3 linked regions of the Drosophila melanogaster genome follow. The protein of the gene in region 2 interacts with the protein of the main gene of each other region in a pairwise test. Each region holds a gene or a part of one and is shown on either strand. Other genes may lie near its edges.

Evidence for each region.
Region 1: the proteins of mbm (region 2) and CG42500 interact in a two-hybrid assay, tested with the Drosophila melanogaster proteins (one large-scale study listed by BioGRID).
Region 3: the proteins of mbm (region 2) and alpha-Man-Ia interact in a two-hybrid assay, tested with the Drosophila melanogaster proteins (one large-scale study listed by BioGRID).

The regions. Positions count from the first base shown.
Region 1 is NT_033777.3:14,149,163-14,156,033, reverse strand, and holds CG42500 (uncharacterized protein), read left to right. Parts: upstream 1-3,383; 5' UTR 3,384-3,481; coding exon 3,482-3,712; 3' UTR 3,713-3,823; downstream 3,824-6,871. Other genes in the region: CG31533 (uncharacterized protein), read left to right, coding at 1-1,277; CG44215 (uncharacterized protein), read left to right, coding at 1,602-1,718; Recs1, read left to right, coding at 2,275-3,069; CG14355 (uncharacterized protein), read left to right, coding at 4,235-4,740, 4,822-5,071, 5,132-6,871.
Region 2 is NT_033779.5:270,137-278,128, forward strand, and holds mbm (mushroom body miniature), read right to left. Parts: upstream 3,580-7,992; 5' UTR 3,499-3,579; coding exon 2,419-3,498; intron 2,371-2,418; coding exon 1,831-2,370; 3' UTR 1,776-1,830; downstream 1-1,775. Other genes in the region: CG3345 (uncharacterized protein), read left to right, coding at 1-470, 525-1,178; CG11555 (uncharacterized protein), read left to right, coding at 3,850-4,515; CG17078 (uncharacterized protein), read right to left, coding at 4,811-5,115, 5,183-6,361, 6,603-6,767, 6,823-7,006; smo (smoothened), read left to right, coding at 7,690-7,727, 7,794-7,992. UniProt on the Drosophila melanogaster protein: Required for small ribosomal subunit biogenesis in neuroblasts. Plays a role in mushroom body development.
Region 3 is NC_004354.4:10,303,560-10,312,430, forward strand, and holds the start of alpha-Man-Ia (alpha-Mannosidase class I a), read right to left. Parts: upstream 5,549-8,871; 5' UTR 5,003-5,548; coding exon 4,334-5,002; intron 1-4,333. UniProt on the Drosophila melanogaster protein: Involved in the maturation of Asn-linked oligosaccharides. Progressively trim alpha-1,2-linked mannose residues from Man(9)GlcNAc(2) to produce Man(5)GlcNAc(2).

The DNA of each region.
Region 1 (6,871 bases), on a different chromosome or scaffold from region 2:
ATGACATTTTTACCGCCAAGAGTCCACCAAAACCTCCCCGCCGAATTCCGAAGCCCCGGTCAAGTGAGGATTTCTGTGTGGTCATGGAATCTGAGGGGGAAGATGATCTTCCCTACCTGGCGAAGGTATTTTCCGAGCTAAAGAATCTGTACCATATCCACGACACCAAGAAGCTTTCAGCTATTAAGGAACGCTGCGCATCTCAGTCCTTGTTCACTATCCGCAGCAGGCGATCCATCAAGGAGCTGACCAAATCGCTATACCCAGGAGACAAAATACTTGACGGAAGAAGCCATCATCCAAAGGCTGGCCACAAAAACTGCATTTCGTCCTCAAGCATTGTGTCTCGTCGCCATGGTTGGAACTGGACAAAAAGTTGCGAGGCACGGAAGAATGGCTGGCGGCCAGGTGCCATCCTACGATCCTCTGGCCATGTGATGCGTCACTTCCTGATGCGAAGTAGAGATCCGAATATGTGCGGCAAGGTAACAGCTGATTACGAGGAACAGAAACGATTTGGCCATCCCGTGCTCAATATTTGCAAGCGAAATGGTAATATATTCGTAACCCTTCGTCCACTGCCCACTTTGGGTATGAAACAGAAACCCATAACGTTCCGGATCGTCAAGAGCGATATGGCGGTGGCACTGCGCCAGATCAAGCGTGCTCTCAAGGATCAGGGCTTCGAGAAGTGCAAGTGCCACCAGTCCCTGATGATGTGCACCTGTCGCGATGCCTTGGATAAATTTCACCTGAATAAGGCTCTCAAGAAAGAGTGCCAGAAGCGTTTTATAGAGCCATGTCCCGACCACTTGGTGCTTACCGACACAAGTGAGAGCGATTTGGAGTTCGATCTGGATGTGACTCCGCCGGCGGGAACTCGTAGACCGAAGCGCAAAGCCCTTAGGAACGTGGTGAATCATAGCACCCAGACTGCAATGAAGGAGCCACCAGTTATACCGCCTCCATATCCAGTAGCCCACAATCACTTCTATAGGGCCTACGATTGCGCAGCAGGAGATCGGTATATGGGCACAGCCTTCGGCGATAATATAGAGACCGTTTTCGAGGATGGAGTCTTTGGATACCGGGGTGGTGGCCAGCATGGAAAGCCCGTAATCTGGCGACACCCGAAGGTGTGGGGCAAGAAGGCCCAGGCACCACTCCCGATTGGAACCGCTAGGAACGCCATCGATCCTTACCGGTATACCAAAAATGTTTGGAAAGAACTGCCGCGAAAGATAATACAAAAAATGAGAGCAAAATCAAGGAAATAATTGTATTCTTTTATTAAAAGTCAAAATGTAATAAGCGTGTTTTATTTCTCTTAAGCTACAATGGCAGCCGTTTGGAATTATAGGAATTAGTATAATAGTATTATAAATAATTTTATTTTATATTAGGGAGCACATTTTTTGTGATTGTTAATGACGCAATCCAACTTGTTTTCAAAGTATTGCTAAAATTCTATTAATACGAGCATAAGAATTTGATTAAATATGCTAATTATATAGAAATTATAAACTGGTCTCAATCGACTGCAAACGGTAGTATAAAAGCGCCATGCCAACTGTTAGACTGTATTCATTAAAGTTACCAAAATGAAGATCTTCGCTCTGTGCGCCTTTTTGCTCCTCATCCTGGCTGCCGTCCAGGCCAATAGTTCTCCTGAGACCAGTGCGATCTCTGAAGGGAACCTTAAGAAAACTGCTGGATAATTTATAATTTCACGAAAGCTACTTGAATATTGGAATAAATATTCTATTTAGCAGCAGAATTTGTTGTATTTATTTGTATGCCCTTGCAGAGGGTATAATGATTTCAGACAGAAGTTTGCAACGCACTAAGGGGTACATTTGCAACCATTTAAAATATGTATAAATAATAAGTATTAACAGCAGAGTGTATATAGCCATATAGTCATTTAGTTATCCGTAAGTCCGTTTTTGCTCAAATTAGTCACATATTTAAATCTTTACATAAAATTGTTGTTTGAATTTAATAAATACGCATTACTGCAAATGTATATAAGACGGAAGACAGTATTGGATATATATTATTATAATATTATAATATTGTGAATTTTCGAATTCTAAAGAAATGAAGTTAAAGTTATGTTTATGATAGTTACTAATTATGAAAAGAAGATTTATAGTTTCTAAGAAGTAAATTCCATTTAACGTTGACTCTTCTGTCATACTATACTTCAATTTCCGACAAAGGTTATTAAATTAAGAATTAGCAGTTACTTGAAAGTTGTGTTCGAAGGACACAATGCTGGATATTTTACAAGAACCAGTACATCAGTATGGAAATCGGAGCCACCAGGCGGAGTGTATTCCGCTGGGAAGATATACAGCTTACGGATCGGAAATCGGACAGGATGATCCAGACAAGGGCTTGGGATTCTGCAGCGCCAGCATCCGGCGAGGATTCATCCGGAAGGTGTACCTCATCCTGTTGGCCCAACTGATCACTTCCCTGGTGGTTATAGTTTCACTTACTGCTGATAAACGGGTGCGTCTGATGGTGGCAGAAAGCACCTGGATATTTGTGGTGGCCATACTAATAGTGGTCTTCTCTCTGGTGGCTCTGGGCTGCAATGAGGATCTGCGTCGTCAGACCCCAGCTAACTTCATCTTCCTATCTGCCTTCACGATAGCCGAGTCCTTTCTGCTGGGCGTGGCAGCCTGTCGTTATGCCCCAATGGAGATTTTCATGGCCGTGCTAATCACGGCGTCAGTTTGCCTTGGACTCACCCTTTTTGCTCTGCAGACGCGTTACGACTTTACCGTCATGGGTGGCCTCCTGGTGAGCTGCCTGATAATACTGCTCTTCTTTGGAATTGTGACCATCTTCGTGGGCGGACATATGGTCACCACCATATATGCCTCATTGAGCGCTCTGCTCTTCTCCGTTTATTTAGTTTACGATACACAATTGATGATGGGAGGCAAGCATAGGTACTCCATTAGTCCCGAGGAGTACATATTCGCTGCCCTAAATATTTACATGGATGTAATGAACATATTCCTGGACATTTTGCAATTAATCGGAGGATCCGATTAGTTGCATGAAATCTCACAAACACACAGATTATTTTACATCTGCAATTCGACGTCGAGTATTAATAAATCAAATTCAGCAGCAAGCCTATTTTACATTTACTTAAAAGCCTAAATATAGGCTTTAAAAATTTGGATATTTTTTATACAAAGCACAGTTGCCATAAATAATATAATTAAACTTGTTTGCACAAACAAATGCAGAAATAACAAGAATGACCGGTATTCAATGATCGCACCTGTTCATAATCGCTAATTAACGGGCAACCTATATATTGAAATACATTTCGTATAATTTAGTGTTTTGTGACCCAAAAAATAACGAAAAATTATAAAAAAAAAGATAACTGTAAACGGTTACGATATTAGGTATATAAGATCTTCCAGCACCTCAAAGTGTATCAAATTTTGAAACGATGAAGTTCTTTGCTCTGTGTGCCTTCCTCCTCATTGCCCTGGCTACCGTCCAGGCAACTCCCGGTGATCTGCGCCATGTTCCTGTAGGACACGGAGGACACCCAGTCAATGCTGGCCACGGACCTGTGGGACACGCTGGTCCTGTTGGACACGGTCCAGTTGTAGGCCATGGTCCAGTTGTAGGCCATGGTCCAGTTGTGGGACATGGTGTTCATGGTCATTCTGGCTGAAAACTTATCTGAATCCTACAAGGAGCGCAATGCAGACCTTGATGGAAAGAAACGAAGTGTTTGTTCAACACCTTCAGTACAGCATATCCTAATAAAATATTCGATTTATCGAAAACATATTGTGATTTTAAGATTTGGGGAAACAACAGAAAACCAGTTCAGCATTTAGAGGGCTTGCCGCAGATTTTGCATTGAGAACGTTGTTCAGAAAGATAAGCAAATGGAATCGAATAACTGGAAGTACTCATTATGAATTCCAAAAGTAAACGAAACATGCCTTGATCTCTGTCATAAGTGTTTGGTAGTCATTTTGCATTTGAAACTGGTCAGAGTTGGGCTTGTTTTTATATTCAGAACACTGTCTACCTCAGTTTTATTGTAAAGTTTAGTGTAGTAAGTCGTAAGATACTATTTCAAAAATCTAAAGTAAAAAAAAATCATTATAATTGGAACATTAATGACTCAGACTAGTTCCTCCATAAAAGAAAGCCCAGACAGACAGTAGAAATTTAAGATATCGAGATGGGACCCAAAAAGAAGTCCGTTGCTGTAGCTATTGCAGAAACTAAACCAGAAGACCAACCACCACCTGAAAAGGTGAAGCCAAAGAAAGAGCCCATCCCCGTTTTCGTATTCGATGTTATAGTCACCCATTTGGAGGCCAAAAATACCGAGTTCACCAATCCATCGAAGCTAGAAGTCACAGCAAACTTCTTCAAAACTCCACTTCTCCTCACCAATAGTCAGATAAATGTTAGCGATTTCAAGGCGAATGCCGGTCTCTCCCTTCAAAAGGATCCAAAGGAAATTCGTAAGACAGTTAACGATTGTGGGATATCCTTCAGCGTGGTGTACAGCAAGAAGGTGATTGGCTCCGGGCAGGCATCGTTCCCCTCCAGCGTAGTGGACTCCATAGAAAAGGACATGACCGATATTCTTCACTCGGACGTCATTGATTTGGCTGCAGGCGGCGAGGTGACCGGCAAACTGGAGTTCCTTTGCCGGTTGGTCGTCATGTGCATTGCTGAGTAAGTAATTCGAAATGGTCACGTGCATACATGTTTGTTGCTAAGTATTCCAGTTAATTTTATATTTGTTTACCCTTTCAGTGAGCCTGAGCTCGAGTGCGCCCGTAACATGGACAGGAGCATCAATGCACAGGATATTATGTTCGTAATGGGTGAATCGCAGGTGTGTCCCAGTGCCTGTGAACCCTGTCAAAATGATTTGGAAGCGGAGGAAGGCGACGAGCGGCTCAGACTGGACCTGGAACGATATCGCAGCCAGGGTGGTGGTATAAAGCCATACAATATGATGACGAACAACGCATCTGGGATACCAGCGTGTTGTGAACTTAAGGTTACTAAAAATACATTATTTTCCTAATATTATTATATTATTTTACAATTTTAAATTCAGAAAATGGCAATCGAGTACGAGCGGATGATTGATTCCATCACCAAACAGACCGGCATGCCGCCTCCCAAGCCTCCGTGTCGTAGTCCCGACGAGGCGAACAACTTTGGCATGAACCCCTGTTGGTGCCAACCTGAACTTCCTCAATTTCTTGAGCTGCCCGAGAAACCGGACAAGCCATGCTTCGTTTACCTGCCCGCCACCCAAGATCACGAGCCGGACTTCTGCGAGAAGAACCTAATGCCGGTTCCCATTGCGGACTGCGATGGACAGAAGCCGGAAATCAAGCCCATCCGCTTTTGTCCGGTCTGCCTGACCAATATGTCGTGGCTGCCGAAGTTTGCAGCGTGTCCGAAGTGTGGAATCAAACCGATGCCCGTGGTGGAGGATAGGCACAAGGAGAAGAAGGTATCGGCCGACCAGATCCTGCTCGAGTACTTGGGCAAAGGACCATCCACTGTGGATGACTACTGCACGGATCCGTGTGAAAAGGCCAAAAAAGATAGAGCCGACGATGATGAGTGTCCACCATGCCGTTGCAGCTGCAAGTTCGGTAAAATGTGTGCCCACTGTCGCATCCGAAAGATGTGCGCCGATATATTTAAGAGCGATCAGGTGACTCCCAAGTGTCCAAAAGTGGAGCCAAAGGAATCGGAGGACTACTGTGTGGTAAACAAAAGCTCCGAGGACTGTCGACCCTATTTGGCCAAAGTTTTCTCCGAGTTGCGCGATCTCTACGATATCAAGGACACCAAGAAGTTATCCGAACTGGACGAGAACTGCGATCGAGCGGTGCCCAAAACGGAGAAGCCTGAGAAACAAGAACCCAAAAAGGAGAACCAAGCTCCCAAGAAACCACCTTATATACCACCTAACAACAAGGGTCATATTTCCAGCAGACACAAGCGATGTGTCCTTCGATCGGGATTTGTGTCCCGACAACATGGTTGGGCCTGGAGCAACAGCTGGGAGGCCAAAAAGCTGGGCTGGCGTCCGGGTGCCATCCGTAAGCCCATCAAGAAACTGATGAAGTTCTTCCTGGAGCAACCTGCCAGAGAGAATGCATTTGCCAAATGCAAGGACACGGAGACTTTGGAGCGAGAAAAGGAGCTGGCCTCACCGGTGTTGAATATCTGCAAGAAGAACGGAGAGATCTTCATCACCCTGCGTCCTCTTTCTCCCTTGGGTATGCGCCAGAAACCCATCACTTTCCGGATTGTGAAGAGCGAAATGGCAGTGGCCCTGCGTGAGATCAAGAGAAAACTGAAGGATAAGGGATTCCGCAAGTGCACCTGTCACCAGACATTGATGATGTGCCGTTGCAGGGATCCCACCGAAAAGGTTCATCTGCAGAGGGCTTTAAACAGGGAATGCCGACGTCATTGCATTCCACCGGCTGGCGACCATCTGGTGCTCACAGATACCAGCGAAAGCGACATGGAGTTTGACTTTGATGTCACTCCGCCAGCAGGTACGGAGCAACCATGCCAGCCGCCTTTGCCGGATACCGTTAACCATGGCACCCAGACATCCAAGAAAGACCAGATGCCACTACCTCCAAAGTATCCCATCCGAATTCCACCTTATTACAGAGGTTTCGACTGCGCTGTGGGCGATCGCTACATGGGTACGGCATTCGGATGGCCGGGAGAAATGGTCTTCGAGGATGGCGTATTTGGAATGATGGGTGGCGGACCACATGGCCCCAATCCAATGCCTTGCGGCAGACCCCGAGTGCCAGGA
Region 2 (7,992 bases):
CTAATCAGCGTAGGATCGAATACCTCCTGCAGGAGGTGGAAAAAGAGCGAGAGGCGTTTATAGACAGGCACAAGGCTCATTACAGAGAAAAGTGGCAACGGATTCAGGACGAGATTAAGGAAAGAGCTCAAAAGGCCATCACTGCTCGTCAGCCCAAAAGAAAGCGCCGCAAGAAGAAGAAGTCGACACTTCAGGAACGCAAGCCATCATTCTGCGATGAGTATCAGGCCACCTTTGAGGGATTGTTAGACAGTGATCTTTGTTACGCCTTGAATGCAGCCATTGCCATGGAGGGTCAGACCGCTCTCAGCTTCGCACCAGACGACCCCATCTATAAGGCGGCACAATATATACTGGACTACATAATTTCTGGTTTAAACGACGATCTCAGCGAGGATGAGTGTGCCTTGCAGGTGCTGATCTCGCGCATTAAGGATTTTGTCTGCGATGCAAAGAAATATGTGCACTACGTAAGTGTTAATAGCAGTCCCTCTTGACATACCACTAATTCATTCCGCCTGCAGAAAGCTTATCAGATCATTGGATTCGCCAGAGACCACAAAGCCATGGAAGTGCCTCCGTCGATGGCCAAACAGCCGAAAAACCACTCGCGCGCCTCCCATGTATCATTTAGCGGTGTAGCCAGCACCATTGGCGTGGGCAGCTACGAGATTCATCCGTTCGTGGACGTCCGCCCGTGCAGCGAACGTCGGGCCACTCCGGCGGGATCATTAGCCTCTCTGGTTGTCAGCCAGATCGGCGAACAGGTAATACAGGACAAGGTGCGCCTGCCGCATCTAAATCGCAACCAGATCGTGTTCATAGAGCACTACCTGGTGAAGTTTAAGCGGGATCTATTGGTGGGTCTGGACAAGCTGGTATTTGCAGCGATTCAGTGCCACTTTGAAAACCGTATGATGGAGGTACGAGAGGAGCTCCTTCTGCTTGACAGGAACTATTTGTTCGAGCAGATTGCCAGGGGTATCCTCAGCTATGCGGTTAATCCGCTCAACTATCAGTCGGTGCTTAAGCTGGCCGTGAGCGTCCAGTCGTGTGAAATCATCTGGGAGCTGCAGCAGACGATGCTCAAGCCAGGCATCGATCCCCGGGGCCAGAATCACCCAGTGTCCTGCGGCACCGAGCAGGAACGCGAGACCCTGGCTCTCTGCATACCCTAGGATCCTGTCAAGCAGACAGGGCAAGGAAAATTGATCTTAAAGCAGGATGCCTTAGCTCTGGCGGGAAGTAGCCCTAAAAATTACTTGTATATTTCGTTTCCGAGGCACTTACATACTTCAGAGTCCAGGAATATTCATTTTCAATATGATGTCCTAAATTTATGTACTATGTTTTCTTTTATCGTTTAAAATGCTTCCTTATAAATAAGTTGAGTATAACTTTAAAAATCAGACACCTGGATCCTTTAGTTAAAAACTCAAAGCTCTTGAGATTTAATCGTAGAAAACCAATAAATTTAGGTAAATACACTTACCCAAAAGTTTTTTGCAAAGTTTTTTCACTGAGTTTCATACGTTTTTCCTAGTAAACACTATTAATTTGATTTTTTATTCAAAAGCGTGGAAGCAACAGCTGGCAAAACACAAAACCAGGGCTGCGTCGGCTGATACATTTCGATAAATAGGTCTGCCCTGGTTATCGATATTATTCCCCGGTATGTATTGTACAAAAATTAATTCAACTTCATTCTCGTTTTAAACAACAGAGGCGTAATTCCTAAATTCCGTAAATATTAAAATGAAAGAACTAAATCCATTGGTATTGAAAATGTATTTATCTTTCACGTTCCTTTACAACTAACTCACGCTATAACTATTTAGAAAAATTAAACGGAGCTCTATAAGAATACATCATGGAGTTAAAAGGGGCGCCCGGGGCGCCTAGAAGGGGAAATGGAAACACTTGAGGAGGTAGACTGGCTGCGGCCGATACGGAGGCTTTGGTGCCTCGTTTCCGCTTCTGTTTGGACACAGGAGCTGGGTGAGGCTCTTCGCTGGACTCCGAGTCATCGCTCTCGCTGCTGTCATCTTCATCTTCGTCGTCATCTTCCTCGTCATCTTCTTCGTCATGATCTTTCGGCTCCACCTTCATCCTTTTCTGTGAAGACTTCTTTATCTTTTTTATTGACGCCTTTTTGTCCTTTTTGGGTTTTGCTGAAACTGGAGCTGTGACTGTGCCAGCAGGAAATCCAAATCCTTGCTCGCAATGAAAGGCAGTCATTTGCTGCATGGCAAACTCCACAAACGACTGGATGGCAATATTTAGATTGGGCGGGTTTGGACAGTTTTTGAGACCATGATAACTACCGGAGCAATTACGACATATCATCTGACACTGGAAGGAGGTGTGGCCCTGGAAGAGATTTTTTTAAATTGGGTAACATTCTTTTAAAATATTTACCTTCTTGTCGCATATGCCACACACATCCACGGTTTTACCCTTGTTTTTTTGCTTTCTGGCCTTCTTGTCGTCTTCAGGTTCGGTGCTTTCCTCCTCATCGGTAATGGTAAACTGGCGCTCCTGAGAGCCCATGCAGACAACATCCTCCTCGGTGTTCTTTTCCATCTTTTTACTCTTTGCCGGCGGATGACTCTGTTCATCATCGGTGTCGCTGTCCGAAGTTGAGGAGTCGGAGGACGAAACTGGTTTTACAGCCTTTGGTTTCGGAGTTGATGCTACAGGTGTTTTGATGGCCTTCGCTTTTGGGGACGGCACCACCACTGCCTTAGTGTTGACTACCATTTCCCCTGGTTCGGGTTCAGACTCCTCTCCCGAAGTAGATGACGACCTAGAGGAGTTAACCTTCTTCTTTTTAGGAGATTTGGGCTCCGCTTTGACAAATTGCTTTATTTTTGACTTGTGCTCCATTTCTTTCTCCTTCTTGATATTGATTAGCGGCACAGTAGGTTCTTCTGGCGTAACAGCCACATCAGGTGGTGCAACAGATACAGGTGGTGGTGGCGTCAAGTCCGCAGCGAAAGTAACAGGTGGCAGGCTCTCCTGTCTGAGAGAGGAGGGAGCAGGCGAGGATCGAGGCAGAGGTGGGTCTTCGGTAAAGTCCCCCACATTATCGAAGTACAGCATGTTACTTTGGCCAGGACTAACATGCTGATCCTTAGGTTGCCACGAGTTGTTACGGCCACCACGCCTATTGGAATCTCTGCCGCGGTTCCCTCGCCTGCCACCCCAACCACCACCTCCTCCGCCACCGCCTCTATTTCTTCGGCCCCCTCTCTTGTTTGGCTGATGATTATCCAGCTCCTGTTGGGGATCTCTGAACTTGTTAAACGCGTTTCCATTCTGCCCACCTTCCGATCCAGCGTCTGGCCAGTTTCCATTGGCGGCGCGATTTTGGCTGTGGCTGCCTCTTCCCCCGCCTCCACTGCTGCGCCTCTGCTGATTGTTGCGGCCGTAATTCGAAAACGGTTTTCTTTCCTCTCCTGAAAGGTTCCAGCCGGATTGTCCTCCACTGTTGTGCATTATGGAATTGTTAATATTTATAAAACCGCCTAGTTGCGGCGCACGTGTTGAGCCGATTGGGGTTATCGATAAGATCCGATTGTTGGTGGGACTGCCGAAGTGGCTTCTTTCAAGCCAAAACTGCTATTCATTATATGTATATTAAGTTTGAATACCTTATATATAATATAATATATATATATAATACTGTGACAATATGTGACATAATACATGTAATGGACTAAAATGTGAAGTGACCAATGGAAGGTTTTTATAAGATTTAACATATATAGCTAGATTCGATAGTTTCTCAAACTGGCACCTCAGATGGTCAGATGGACGATATTCAGTTTAACCACAAATAACAACGCTATGAATTCTACCAATCCGAAGAAAACAGAAGATAATGATCGCCATGAACGTCAATTGCAGAGCCGCACCAAGGACTGGGGCAAAACCAAGTTCAAGCCAAAGAAGTATGTCCAACCGAAACCAGCGCTCGTTCCACAAGCTACTGCGACGCCCTGGCAGCATGTGAAGAACGACATAATTACGGATTCTTCGGACCGGGGACACCAGGATGTGGACAGCGAGGACGCAAGGCAGTTCATGCAGCAGCGTCAGAAGAACCACCGTCGAAATGTCATAGAAGCCAACCGGTCGCAGGATACTACATGGGAGCCCTTCAACGATGAGAAGCCCTCCACGGAAAGAAAACAACAGCTCTCCACGGACGTTGAGAACTTCACTTTTAAGGAGCGGAACTTTTTCCGAAAGCAACTCACTTTGGGTTTCAATTTAACGAAAAAGAATGCAACACTTAAATCTGCCCTAAAGGACTTGAAATATAGACAGCTGACAAAGGACAAGTTCGAATTAGAACGTTCGAATCATACACGTCGAAATGTGAAATCATCAAATGCGAAAGAAGCAAAGGGTAGCCATCCCTTTCAGAAAATGCGAGATAATGCACATCCTTATCGAAAGAAGGGACCAAATAGGAGAAATCCGTTTCAGAAAGGGCCACATAATGAATAAGTTTAGCTTATTTTCCCTTAGGTGACTTCACAACCCCAACTGGCAAAACATGAAGTTTCAATTAAAAAATAAATAAAAGATTCTTTGTCGGGTGACAAATCAGAAATGTATACACAACATTACTACACACTTTATGCAAATCTTAAAAATAGTGGTACAAATACATGTGGAATAGGTCGGCGAAAATAAATAAACTAAACAGAGTTCGGCTCCTCCTCCGTTGGGAGGAGCAAGAGGAGATTGAAGTGGCGCTCGCTGCGCCATGGTTCCAGCCAAAAATCGTCCAAATGAAATCTCAGCCATGTACATTGGCAAGCTTGGCGATGAGGTGGTTAAACTTGCCGTTGGTGGTCACAGACTTTTTGGCCGATCGCACTTGTTCCGGCGAGTGCTGCAGAAAGTAAACGACGATAAATTCGAGTGTTTGATTGGCTTCCTTAGGGTACATCATGTTAAAGGTATAGTAGTAGCAGATTAACTGGGCCAGAATGTCCGGCAGGTCTTCGTCTTTGGCGGCGAATGTGGCCATTATCTGGCCTTCAATGTAGACCTTCGCCTCCATTTGCGATTCCACGCCGTCGGCCGTTGTTATGGGTGAATCTGTGGGAAGATAAATATTTTAAAAGTATTTAAACACTTTTAGTGATATTAATTTTTGTGTACTTACTGACTAGAGCCACCCAGGGGGCGTTTGTGGGATTCGTGCTTTGCAGTGATTCCTTGCTAAGGGAACTGTTCTCGAGGTGCTTGAAAATGTAGTCGGGATCCTCATTAAAATAGTACGCTATGCCACGCAGGAAATTAGCGTTGGTCTCGTCCAAAGAGCTGATCTTCTTGTTCTTTGAACTCTTAAAGAACCTGAAAAAGCGATCCTTTTCGGTAGCCAAGCGCTTCTCTAGAGCCCGGGGATCGATGGACATAAGCAGCTCAAAGTGCTGGTACAGCACAGCCTTGTCAAAAATATATGGCCAATTGTCCTTAATGGCCGTTATATCTGGGATCTTTTCGCTGTTATTAAAAAAGGAGCGCTGCAACGGAAAGCACTCTTTCATATATTCGATTATGACGGACTGTTCCAGTGGGGAACTGCCTCGGTAGCTGGAGATTAGTAACTCCTTTTTGTGCTCCAGATCCCTGTTAAGAGCCAGCGATTTTGCATCACCATTGGAAGCACCACCTCCGAATTTTCGTTTTTTATTAGGGATGTGGATCTCAAAGGTTCCCGAGCTGCCGCGTTTCTGGGGTTTGTTTAGGGCATTGTTACGGTTGATCATCTTGGATATGAGCGATTGCGGAGTGGTGGCTATAAACTGTCCCTCGCGGTCTTTTTCGAGTAAGGAGTCGGGGTACTTTTCAGCCGCCTGTTGGGCGACCTGCCGGAAAATCCGTATGGGAATGTGGGCGGATATTTCACGGAGAGCCTCCACCAAAACATTCGCAAGTGTATTCAACCGCTTGCCCAAACTCCCCTTTCCCTTTAGTAGTTTCATTATGTCCCCAGGCACCTTGCTCCAGGGTATCGAGAACTCCTTGAATAGAGCAGAACTCTTTGCACTTGATGGCGTTACGCTGGACAGTGACATGGTTTCGTCATTAGAGACCGTCGAATCGTTCGGGTTCGACACAATACTGTTGTTGGCATAGAAGCTGGGATCCACCGAGCTGCCGGCGCGTTCGGATCGGTTGAGGGGCGATGGCGGAGGAAGCACCACATACTCCTCCGACTCGGCGAGGAGCATCAACAGAATCTTCTCCTTGGCAGCGAACAAGAGCACGTCGTCCTCGCAGATCTCGCAGCCGTTGCTCTCCAGGACAATTGTGTTGCCGCACAGGCCGTATTTGTGAGCTACCGAATACAAATATATTATTGATATAAATTAAATAAAATATGTACAATTATTTAATTTCTATCCTAGATAAATATATCACCCATTGATCAAATTTATATTTTTAAATGCAGAAATGCTCTAAGCTTAAACCCAATAGATTCTTATTAAAGACTGTCTACTGGTTAATAACTTCCAACTGGGCAACGTTCATTCGGAATACTGGATGAATAGATACCCAATTCGTCGGACGTTCCTTACCTTTGTCGATTACATCCTTTCGAGTGGGCAACGACATGAAGGTCTTCTTGATCTTGCGATCGGCGCTGCATATGGTAATCAATACTTTGTCAGCCAGCTCGGTCTTCGGCTTGCCCTCGTCGTCGTCCTTCTGGCTAGCATCAGTGGAATGTGTCGGCTCTACGGCTAAAAGGTAAACGTTAACCAGGAAACTAGACTAGCTTCGAGCAAGTTTGCTAACCGGGGGCTTTCTCACCGCAGCTCTCTGGCTTTTTCGCTCCTCCTGTTTGTACACCATTTTCGATTGTTGTTGCCTTTGCGAGTGCGACCGGCGCTTGGTTTGCATTTTGATTCGGACTGATCGGCGCCTGCTGGGTGCTATGATCGCCGCCGGAACTGGCGGGCGGTGCGGGGGCAACGTCCATGGCTTCTATTTGCGTTTGCGCGACTCCAACCAAGCCCTGTTATCCGTGTTTTTGGACCGTGCCGTGAAATAATATTGCAGAATAGGGATGTAAAAACTACATCGATGCTTGGTGCGCTACTATCGCGGTGTTATCGATACTCCGCACCCAGTGTGACCGTCGAGCGCATGGCATAAATAAATAAGCCAGCGGCCAGCATTGCCATATAGTCAAAATGTTGCGGGGAACACCTTTTTCGTTTGCTGATGCATTTCTACATATGATCATATTTCTTATTTTATGTTGATGTTATCTTATGTTACGATCGAACAAAATAAATCCGATTTGTTTGCATATCATTCGACTTGTTGCAGCTATGACCGATAATAACCGATGCCGACCGATAACATGCAAATCTCGCTGACCGATAACATGGGTATATTTAAACTGGCCCTGAATGGTCGCACATTTGTTGCTTCAGCTTCACGTTGAGTCGCGTTTATTTTTGTTTTCCTCCTTGGTTCTTGTTTTTTTTTTCTCTTTTTTAAAAACACTGCAATCCTTCAAAGGGAACAATTAAACCAGGATATCCCGAGTCCAACGAAAGCGCCTTCACGATGCACTGACGAACCGCTGAGCAAGAAACGGGCATTCAGCCCATTAAAATTCACACAAGGCAGCTATTTAATGATTTTTATAAGCGGATGCAGTACTTAAACTTTCCGCGCATGCCAAACATTATGTGAGTGACTCGCCTCTGGCAAATGGTGTGGGCAATTAAAATAACTTGGTTATTTACAAACCGCAGGATGTTCCTGGAGGTTGCGATCTTATGCCTGTGGGTGGTCGCAGACGCATCGGCCAGTTCGGCCAAGTTCGGCAGCACAACGCCCGCAAGTGCGCAGCAGTCGGATGTGGAACTGGAGCCCATCAATGGGACTCTCAATTACCGACTGTACGCCAAGAAGGGCAGGGACGACAAACCCTGGTTTGATGGCCTAGACAGC
Region 3 (8,871 bases), on a different chromosome or scaffold from region 2:
TTTCCCACCCACTATGGCCAACCCTCGTCTGTTTTGTGCACGCTCCATGTCATGCGGAAATTGAATAGTTTCCGGTATTGAACAATGATTACTTATGCTACGCTCCAGGCCCCAAAAACTTTGACCCCGGGCATCGGCAGAAATTCAATTCGAAATCAATACCACGTAATTTGGAATGATTTGTTTTTTTTTTTTTTTTCATTTAAAATTAAGTTAAAAATGTTGTAATGTTAATTTGATCATATATTTGTATTGCTTTATTTGTGTTGCGTTGCTAGAAGTGTTTGTTGGAATATTCAAATATCGTTTACCATCACTGACAATCGAAATATTTGAAGGTTTTTCCACGCGATTGCCTGGTATATATGCAGAGAAAGTTTTGCCAAGGACAATTTCCTAGAATGAAAGAAAGTTGATGGCGCTGGGTGGTTGGATTTTACTAGAACAGGACATGATAATTGAAAGCATTGGGGCGTTGTCATTTGCGCATTTGTCCGAGCTCAGGAAACTTTTCCCAAGACATGCCAGATCCCTCACCTTTTACTTTCCCTTCCGCTCTTGCCACTCCTGCCACGCCCCCCCCCTTCCCACCTCTATGCCCCTTATCACCTTGTCCTGTTTTCCTCTTGCCTGCTTTTAGCGTCAAATTGAAGCTTATTGTTGAATTGTTGGCAACTGTTAGCGGCACTTTCTCACTCAGCATTTCTTCGGTCTGGTCTTCCATCTTGCACACAGTCTCTTACCATCTGGATTCTATCCAATTTCTTGGCTGGACAAAACTTTTTATCCATGATATTGCGCTAAGCAGCAGCAGAACGATACACGCGAAGCGGTTTTCTCAAATCATTCATTCGCAACTCACCTGAAAGTAAAAGAGTCGGAAAGTACATGAGTACACTGGGAGAAAGCAATTGGAGTAGATATGATTTACAATTAAGCTAGAGAATTTAGTTCTTAGATTTATGTATGTAATGATAGCAAGTAATTTTGCCCATCATTTTGATTTGCAAATGTTGAATAAATTGAATTATTATTTATAATTGAAACATATTTTTTTTTGTTGATATTTTACCACGTTTAAGGACTCAAATTTATCGGTGTATGTGTGAGCGGCAGGCGCGTGTTTTCCATATAAAGAGGCTGCTTTGCATTGCAATTGGTGGTTATAAATTATGACCGGCCTCCCAGACATGACAGATGTATTACGTTGAAAAGTGGAAGCAACAAAAAAACAAAAAAAAAACAACAAAAAATCAGCGAGAGGAAAGAAAAGAAAAACACTTTATCAGCATGAAAAGAAAATTCACTAGATGGAAAGCAAGTGCTCGCTTGACGGGCAAGCGGAAATAAGCGATAATTGTTGCGACAATGAGAAATAATTCACAACTTTAGTTTCCGTTTTCATTATGCATGACACACAAATGGGATGAGTTAAATGCAAAAACGCTGTGCACTTTGTCAACAATATAAAGTAAGTAATACAGCCGTAATGGTGTTCATTGCAAGTGAGTTACTCTGCCGCATTTCTTTAACATCTGACAGACTTATCTTATCTATCGGATTTTATCCAACCTGCTGTATAAATTATAATTTCTGCAAGTAAATAGAATCTGTGCAGTCGGGGCAACTAGTTCACTTGGCAAAACTAGCTCAACTTGGCGATAATTACAAACGCCCGAGGGACACAAAAGTAGCACCGCAAACTCCCTTACAATTATTTTAATTTCCACAACAGGCCAACTTGCAGCCTTGCCACCCACTGCCACTGCCACTCCCACTACTCCCGCCCACTTTACTTTTTGGGGCAACCCGCACGTGAGAAGCCTGCGGCAAGTTGAAAGCCAAAAACTGCGCCTTACTCCCCACCACCAGCAAAGTGTGCTTTTGTTTACCTAAAAAGTTAAGCAATTTATTATTAAGAAAAACTTTTGCAACCAAAAGTGGAAGGAGACGTAGAATATGGCAGAGGTTACGGCCCTCATGTTTCTGGTCAAAAGAGAATTGCGTATGATAAATGGGCGTATATTAAATAGAGTGCATAACCAGCCAAAGTCAATGCCAATCGAAAGTCATCTATGGGAGTTACTCAGCTTAAAGTTGTTAATAAAGTTGTTAACAAAAAAAGAAAAAGTGTTTAGATTTTAAATACGAAGAAATTAAGTTTCGTATAAAACACGAAATGGTGTTACTCCCTTTTTCTGTATACATAACATATCCACAATTGCATTTACAATAAACAATATTTTCTTCTGGCAAACAACTAAATTCACCCGTCATCGACATCAACAAAAGGAAGTGAGCAAAATTAGCGTTTGTAAATAAATGAGCTAGTCTCGTATAGAATTCATCAGCTTAATTTACCATGCTGTCTCTATCGCACAGCGACGTTTGCTCTCTTTCTATGATATGGCAAAACCAAAAAAGAAAAACACAAGTCACATTGCACATTGAAAATCAAGTAATTAATTTCACACGGAATAAGTTTGCAAAGTTAATTGGCTTAGTGATGCCTCTTGACTGAATATGACTGGCAAAGTTGGTTAGTTGGGAAATAATAATAACAAATTAAGTTTTCCCGACTGCCAGATACTTTAGTACTCACTTTATTTGTTAACTAATTTATGTTTGTATATGAAACAAACTTAAATGATGGTTTGCTAGTTTAGTAGTTTGTTTAGTTAGTTTGTAGTTTTAAGAACTAACTAAATATGATAATATACCTTAAACTAGACATTTGGCACATTCACCTTTCGTTTGTGGTAACTTTTTCCATGAACTTTACAAGCTCCCCTCGCCCTCTTGTAATCGCATTATAGAAATCGCGAGCTTTACATGGGATTTTCTAAGGGTAAGTCAAGTGGAAGGGTTTTGGGGGGGGGGGGGGGGGTCATTTGTTTTATTATTGCTATACATGGGACAAAAATAAAGTTTTACTTTGCATATGGATGTGCATTTGATTTCCCAGCACCATTAAAACTATGTTAATTATTGTAATCTATAATCTCTATTGTCGTAATGCCCAAAGGGCTCAAAATTGTTAGCTGATATTGTCTTTGCAATTGACTGGCGGCGAATGCAGCCGTATTTAATTAAAAGCGCTAATAGTTTTAAAGTTTAAAGTTTTGTTGACGAATAATTAAATTTTCATATTTTCAAAAGATTAAAAAAAAACATAATTCTATTACTAGCATGAAATTAAGCCGTATTATTAAATAATACCACAGTTGCCAGTTGTATGCCATTTAAATGAGTATTTTATTGCATATATCATTAATCAATTTTGCTGAGTAATATGAATACATAATATTTGCGTTACAACTTTTATGTTGTATATATTACATTTGCATAAATCTTAAGTAATATCAAACTGGAGAAAAGCGAAAACCGGTTTGGGATAAACGACCCAAAATCGGTTAGAACTAGTGCCAACTAGTTTCGAGCCATAAGCGAAAGCCATTAAATCACAGTGTTATAGAAAACTATAGAACAACGCCAACTGTTATGTATACTCGGTTATACATATATGCAAATGGCGAGCAAACAAAACGTGACAAATTTAATTGGGAAACACCCACCGAAAAATACGAGCACATAAACAAGGAAACCAAAAAAAAAAAAAAAAAAAAAATAACCGAAAAAAAAACTATAACACGCCAAACACACGGTGCTTTCTCATATGAAAATTTTCCGGCTGGGAAATCGAATGAAAAGCAAATGCATTGCTCGGCGGGACGAAATGGAGGGGCAAATGGGATTGCCAAAGCGCGAATTCGTGTTTGCCGTCCAGCGTGACAATGCAGGAAAATGATTAGCCAGATAGCTCTAATAAAAGCGAGAAAAACGGAAAAACGTGAGCCGAACGCCGCCGAATCAAACACGTAAATTGAATTTTCGCAATTGTACAGCTTTCGTTTATTCTTGTTATTGCGAAAATTACACGGCAAGAGGGCAAATGAGAAATGAACCCAAACCACAATGATTTATGGCACTAAACGTTATAAAATAAATAAACGAAAAATTAGTACATAGGTAAAAAAAATATTTATTCAAGTGCTTAAACAAAATACGAAAATAGAATTATAAATGTATAGGTTTTGTAAAGAACACACGATTAAACATAATTCCAAATATATATATATATCAATATTTAAGAAATAGAAATATATTCAACTTGCATTACTTTACTCATTCAAAGTCCCAAATTTCGAATTGCATCAATGAGAATTATTGAAAAGTTGCCCCAATGCATATCTAAGTAAATTTCGAAAATTGTCTACATTTCTAATTCAAGTGCCGGCTCTTGCCAGCGTTCGTATTTTCGCCCAGTGTATACCTGTTTAACGTGGGCGCGTCGCTCGAACTGAATGCCCCCTGGATTGTGATCGGCGATGCCCATTGTAATATCTGCATTGGTAGTATTTGCATGGCTATGCGGCGTATCGCTCCCTTGGCTGTTTTCTAAGCTTTTAGCTGAACTTGTAGTAGCTGCTGTTAGCGGCGCTGCTGCTGGCAATGAAATCGAATCCACATTACCCTCCATCAAAGCCTCGGCCGCCTGAAGAATACGCGGACCGGTACTGCTTGAACCAAGTGTACTGCTTGCGGGCGCACTGCTTGGTCCGCTGTCATTGCTCAGACCAATTTCGATGACAATCTTATTCGGTTGCTGCTGTTGCAACTGTTGCTGCTGCTGCTGCTGCAGTTGGCGCTGTAGATTCTTCGGATGTGTCGCCGCCTGAATATAGTTGAGATCGCTGCGGGAAAGATGATGCTGCTGCAGCGTGGAGTACTGCTGCTCAACGAGAGCCGCCCGCGTCTGGGCCGCCTGGTGACCCCCATTGGCCGCCGCCGAATCGCTGGCCACCTTCTCGCGCAGCTTCACGATATTCGATATGTTGATGCTGTTCGTCAGCGTGATGCCCGTGATGCAGACCAGGATAATGGTCAGTACGACGCCGCAGATGACCAGGGTGGGCATGCGGAAGCATTTCCGGCTGCACATGGTCACCTTGGTGGAGGGGGATTACGGCCAGAAACGCATGCAGGCGATGGAAATCAATCGCCCAGTGAGTTAAGCAAAGTGTAGGCTTTCAAGCAATTGGATTTTAATCATTTGTTGTCCAAGGCAATTGATATTCGCATTAGATTTATATAGTCTTCGTTGGAATTATTTGCGAAATGTATTATGTATTTTTGATTTATTATTGATTTGTTTTGGTTTGTATCACTATTTTCATTTCAGTCCGTTTACTGTTTTTTTTTATTTTTGTTATTGTTCTACCATATTATGTAGTTTAATTAGCAACTGGCAAGGTGTCGTATAATTTTCTTTTATTTTCTTTAGCAATTATATTTAAAAACGATTTCTTCCAATTTTTATTTGTGTCCAACTCACGAGATTTTCAACAAATATTGGTAATCTGGTTTTTGGGCTGTTGCCAACTCGCGAGAGCGCCACACTAAATATTGTTTTCTTTACTTTATTTTCATTTGTCTTTGCTTAATTTAGCGATCGTCGCGCCTTTCAGTGCGCATTTCGAACTGCTCGCTTCAGCAGCTGAAATGCGAATGCAGCGCTGTGCTGCACTTCCTCTCTTTAGCACTGTCCCTCTGACTCTCTTTGCTCTCTAACTGTTTAGCTCTCTGAACTGCTTACTCGTTCACCTGGAGAGCTTGAAGCAGTTTTAGCTAACGCCGTCGCAGCTGCGCAGCTGTCGCAAGCAGTTAAGCATTTCCATATGTAATATTGTGTTTAATATTTTCGTTACGTTTTTTCGTTATTTTCTTTTTTCATTAACTAATTCGATTAATACTAATACTTTTCTTGTTATTTTTTTGTATTGTGCTTTCGTTGAATTTGCTGTAAATTTTTTGTTTATTTCTTTGTAGATTCATTGAAAATGTACTTCGCATTTGTTTAGTTGTTATTTCTAAACTTTATGTACTGATTGGCGTATTATTGTTGTATCTTGTTTCTGTTTAAGTTTATTGTTTATTCAAATATTTGTTTTATTTCCAATTAAAGTGCACATTTTCTCCTTATTGCTGTTATTTTTTTTACTAAAACGCTTTTAGCGATATCAATTCTGTATTTATTTTTATGAACCTTTGAAATTGGATTTGTGATTTATTTTATTGCAATCGGTTTTTATTAGCATGTTGTTTATTTTTGCCCTGGCTTGCTGTTTGCTTTTCCAAAAATACACAAATGCACAACAAAAAAAAAAAAAAAGTGTAGCTCGTTAACATTTTTTAATGTTCTTATGCAGTTGCGGTTGCTGTTGCTTTTTAGGTGTGGCAAAAGGCAATAAAATCAATTATTTTCGTCCAGTGATCGCAGCAAATTGAATTTGCAAATGCTTTTGGTCGTGTGACACATTTTTAAACGTTTTGAATTTATTGGTAATAAAATCAATTAAATTATCAAATGTATAAAGTTGCACATATTAATTGTATTCTCAACTACATCTTTAGTGATATATCGATTTTATTAACTCATTATTCGCAGTTGGCAAAATGTTAATGGAATGTTCGCCACTCCTTTCACTTTTTTTTTCCTTTCACCACCGTTCCTACATATTTCCTGAGCTATTCAACCTTGACAATATCTTGTCTCTCACTTTCTAGGCATCCAGGTGGGTCATAATGCCAACGTAATACCCTGCTATTCCCAGAAGGCTTTAGAAAACAAAGGAATATTTGACAGAAATGCGCAACTTTTTCTAAATTCAAATGCTCTACCAACGAAAAGAGCATAGTAAATGGAAAGCGAAAAAAAAACCAAAACAGACAAACAAAAAATCTGACGTATTTCTAAGTAATCATTTTATATTATTTATTTTACGTAAAGATTTTATCATATTTTACTTATAACAAAAAAAAAGTCGAGGGTATTTGCCTTCGCCTAAAATATTTCAGCTGGTTTCTGTGCTTTTCTGGCTTTGTGGGGTATTTCTTTTTTTTTTGGCCGAGGATTTAAGCATTCATTTCATGGGATCTGCACACGCGTCTTGTGTTCAGTGGGGAAAAGGGGACACTTTGCGGATTTAATTGAGCCGACACGCACGCACACACCCACTCACACACACACACCCAGCCACCCACAGTCACGTATAAATAGAGCATACATAGAAAGTTGGAAGAAATTTCATTTAATTGCATATTAACGCCTGTTGCCTAGACGAATTTATTTCGCTTCTCCTCGTCTTGGGCTGCTTAATACTTTTTCTTTTGTTTCGTTCAACAAGAAAACAGCAGCTCCTTCAGTACTTTTTTTTTCGCTATTTATTTCAATTAATGAAACTACGTCTTTTGTCGCTTAATTAATCCCAAACAAAAGGGCTCTCAACACACATTTTCTCGCAGTCGAAAATGACGGGGTAAACTGAAGGCATTTTCGGGCATTAATGGATTACATTTTCAATTAACATGCTGAGGCATTTCAATTAGTTGTAATTCGTGACAAATCGCTCTACATGTGATTAGGAAAAGGGAAGAATCGGATTTTCTAAGCCACAGAGACGTACATGTGAATTAAATAGGAAGTGAGAATAAATTCCCATAAGATTGGCTACAATGAGAAGGTGTAATTTTTTAGATACCAAAATACCCAACCATAGATAAATTTCGGCCATTTCTGCGTGGTAAATTGCATAATAACAAGATCCATCACGAATGAAGAAGAAAAAAACCACACTCATACACACAAGAAACCAAGAAGCCAGCAGCTGCATCTGAAGATATATATATATATATATATATATGTATAAGAACTGAACGATGTGCAGCAATCTTTGGCATTTCATCTTAATTATTTTCAACAGCTTTTCATAAAATTGCGGCTCAAGGCGAACGGCAAACAGATTGCATTACAACAAGTTGCACAGGGAACGTGGTGCAGTAGCAGCACGTTTAAAATCGGAAAGAGCGGAAAATTGTGGGGTGAAAACTTTATTAAATTTACGCAAGTAAATTGCAATTTATTCCCAGCTCCATTTTGTGCCCAGTTTTACACTAACAACACTTCTACTCTCACTGGGCAAAGAGTCATTTAAAATTGGATAAGACAGCCAACGTTGCGTATGCGTAATGGCCGAAAGGCGGCATAAAATAGTTGGTACTATGGTGCGTATACTTGATGTCCATGCTTTTTAGCTTAGTACATTCTAATTGGTTAATATAAACTTGTTACGTTAACGTTAAATGGACGAAAGGCGGCAAAAAAAATAGTTGGTGCAACTGTGCGTATACTTGATGTACTTTACTTTATAACTAATAACTAATACAAGTGCGTATGAACACCTATTTATATCTACCAAAAAATCTTAAATTTGCTGCTTTAAAACCTCTGAATTCCAATAAATATTTGACTTGTTTCAGTCGTATTTCACTATTAAATTACAGCCACCAAAAATTGAACTTAGGAGCTTGGTCAGCAGCATTGTTGTTCGCGTTTCGTTTGCCATTTGGCCACGAAAACATTTTTCCTGCCCGAGAACGCATTATTTTGTCATTTGCATTCGCTTTGCTCTAATTTTTTTTTTTTCCTTTTTCGTTCATTTTTGAGGGGTGGGAAGGGGGGGGGGGTGTTTCGTTTTCCCATTGCCTTTCCTCCTGCTTCTGTTTTGCCGCTTTGTTTCCGTGCATTTTTGCCCCGCAGGCTGGGCAGATGTTTTCCTTTGGCTGCATTCAAAATCCCAAATCCAATCCCAAGGCTCCTCCTTACTGCTGCCCGTGTGGCCTTGGATCAGCCAAGTCGAAGTTGCGAGGCCTCGCTTGGTTCCTTTTTCGGCCTGTCAAATTCCGCACAAATCGAGTTAACTTCTCGGTACCGGCTCGAAAAAAAGCAAAAAAAAAAAAAACCGAAAAAAA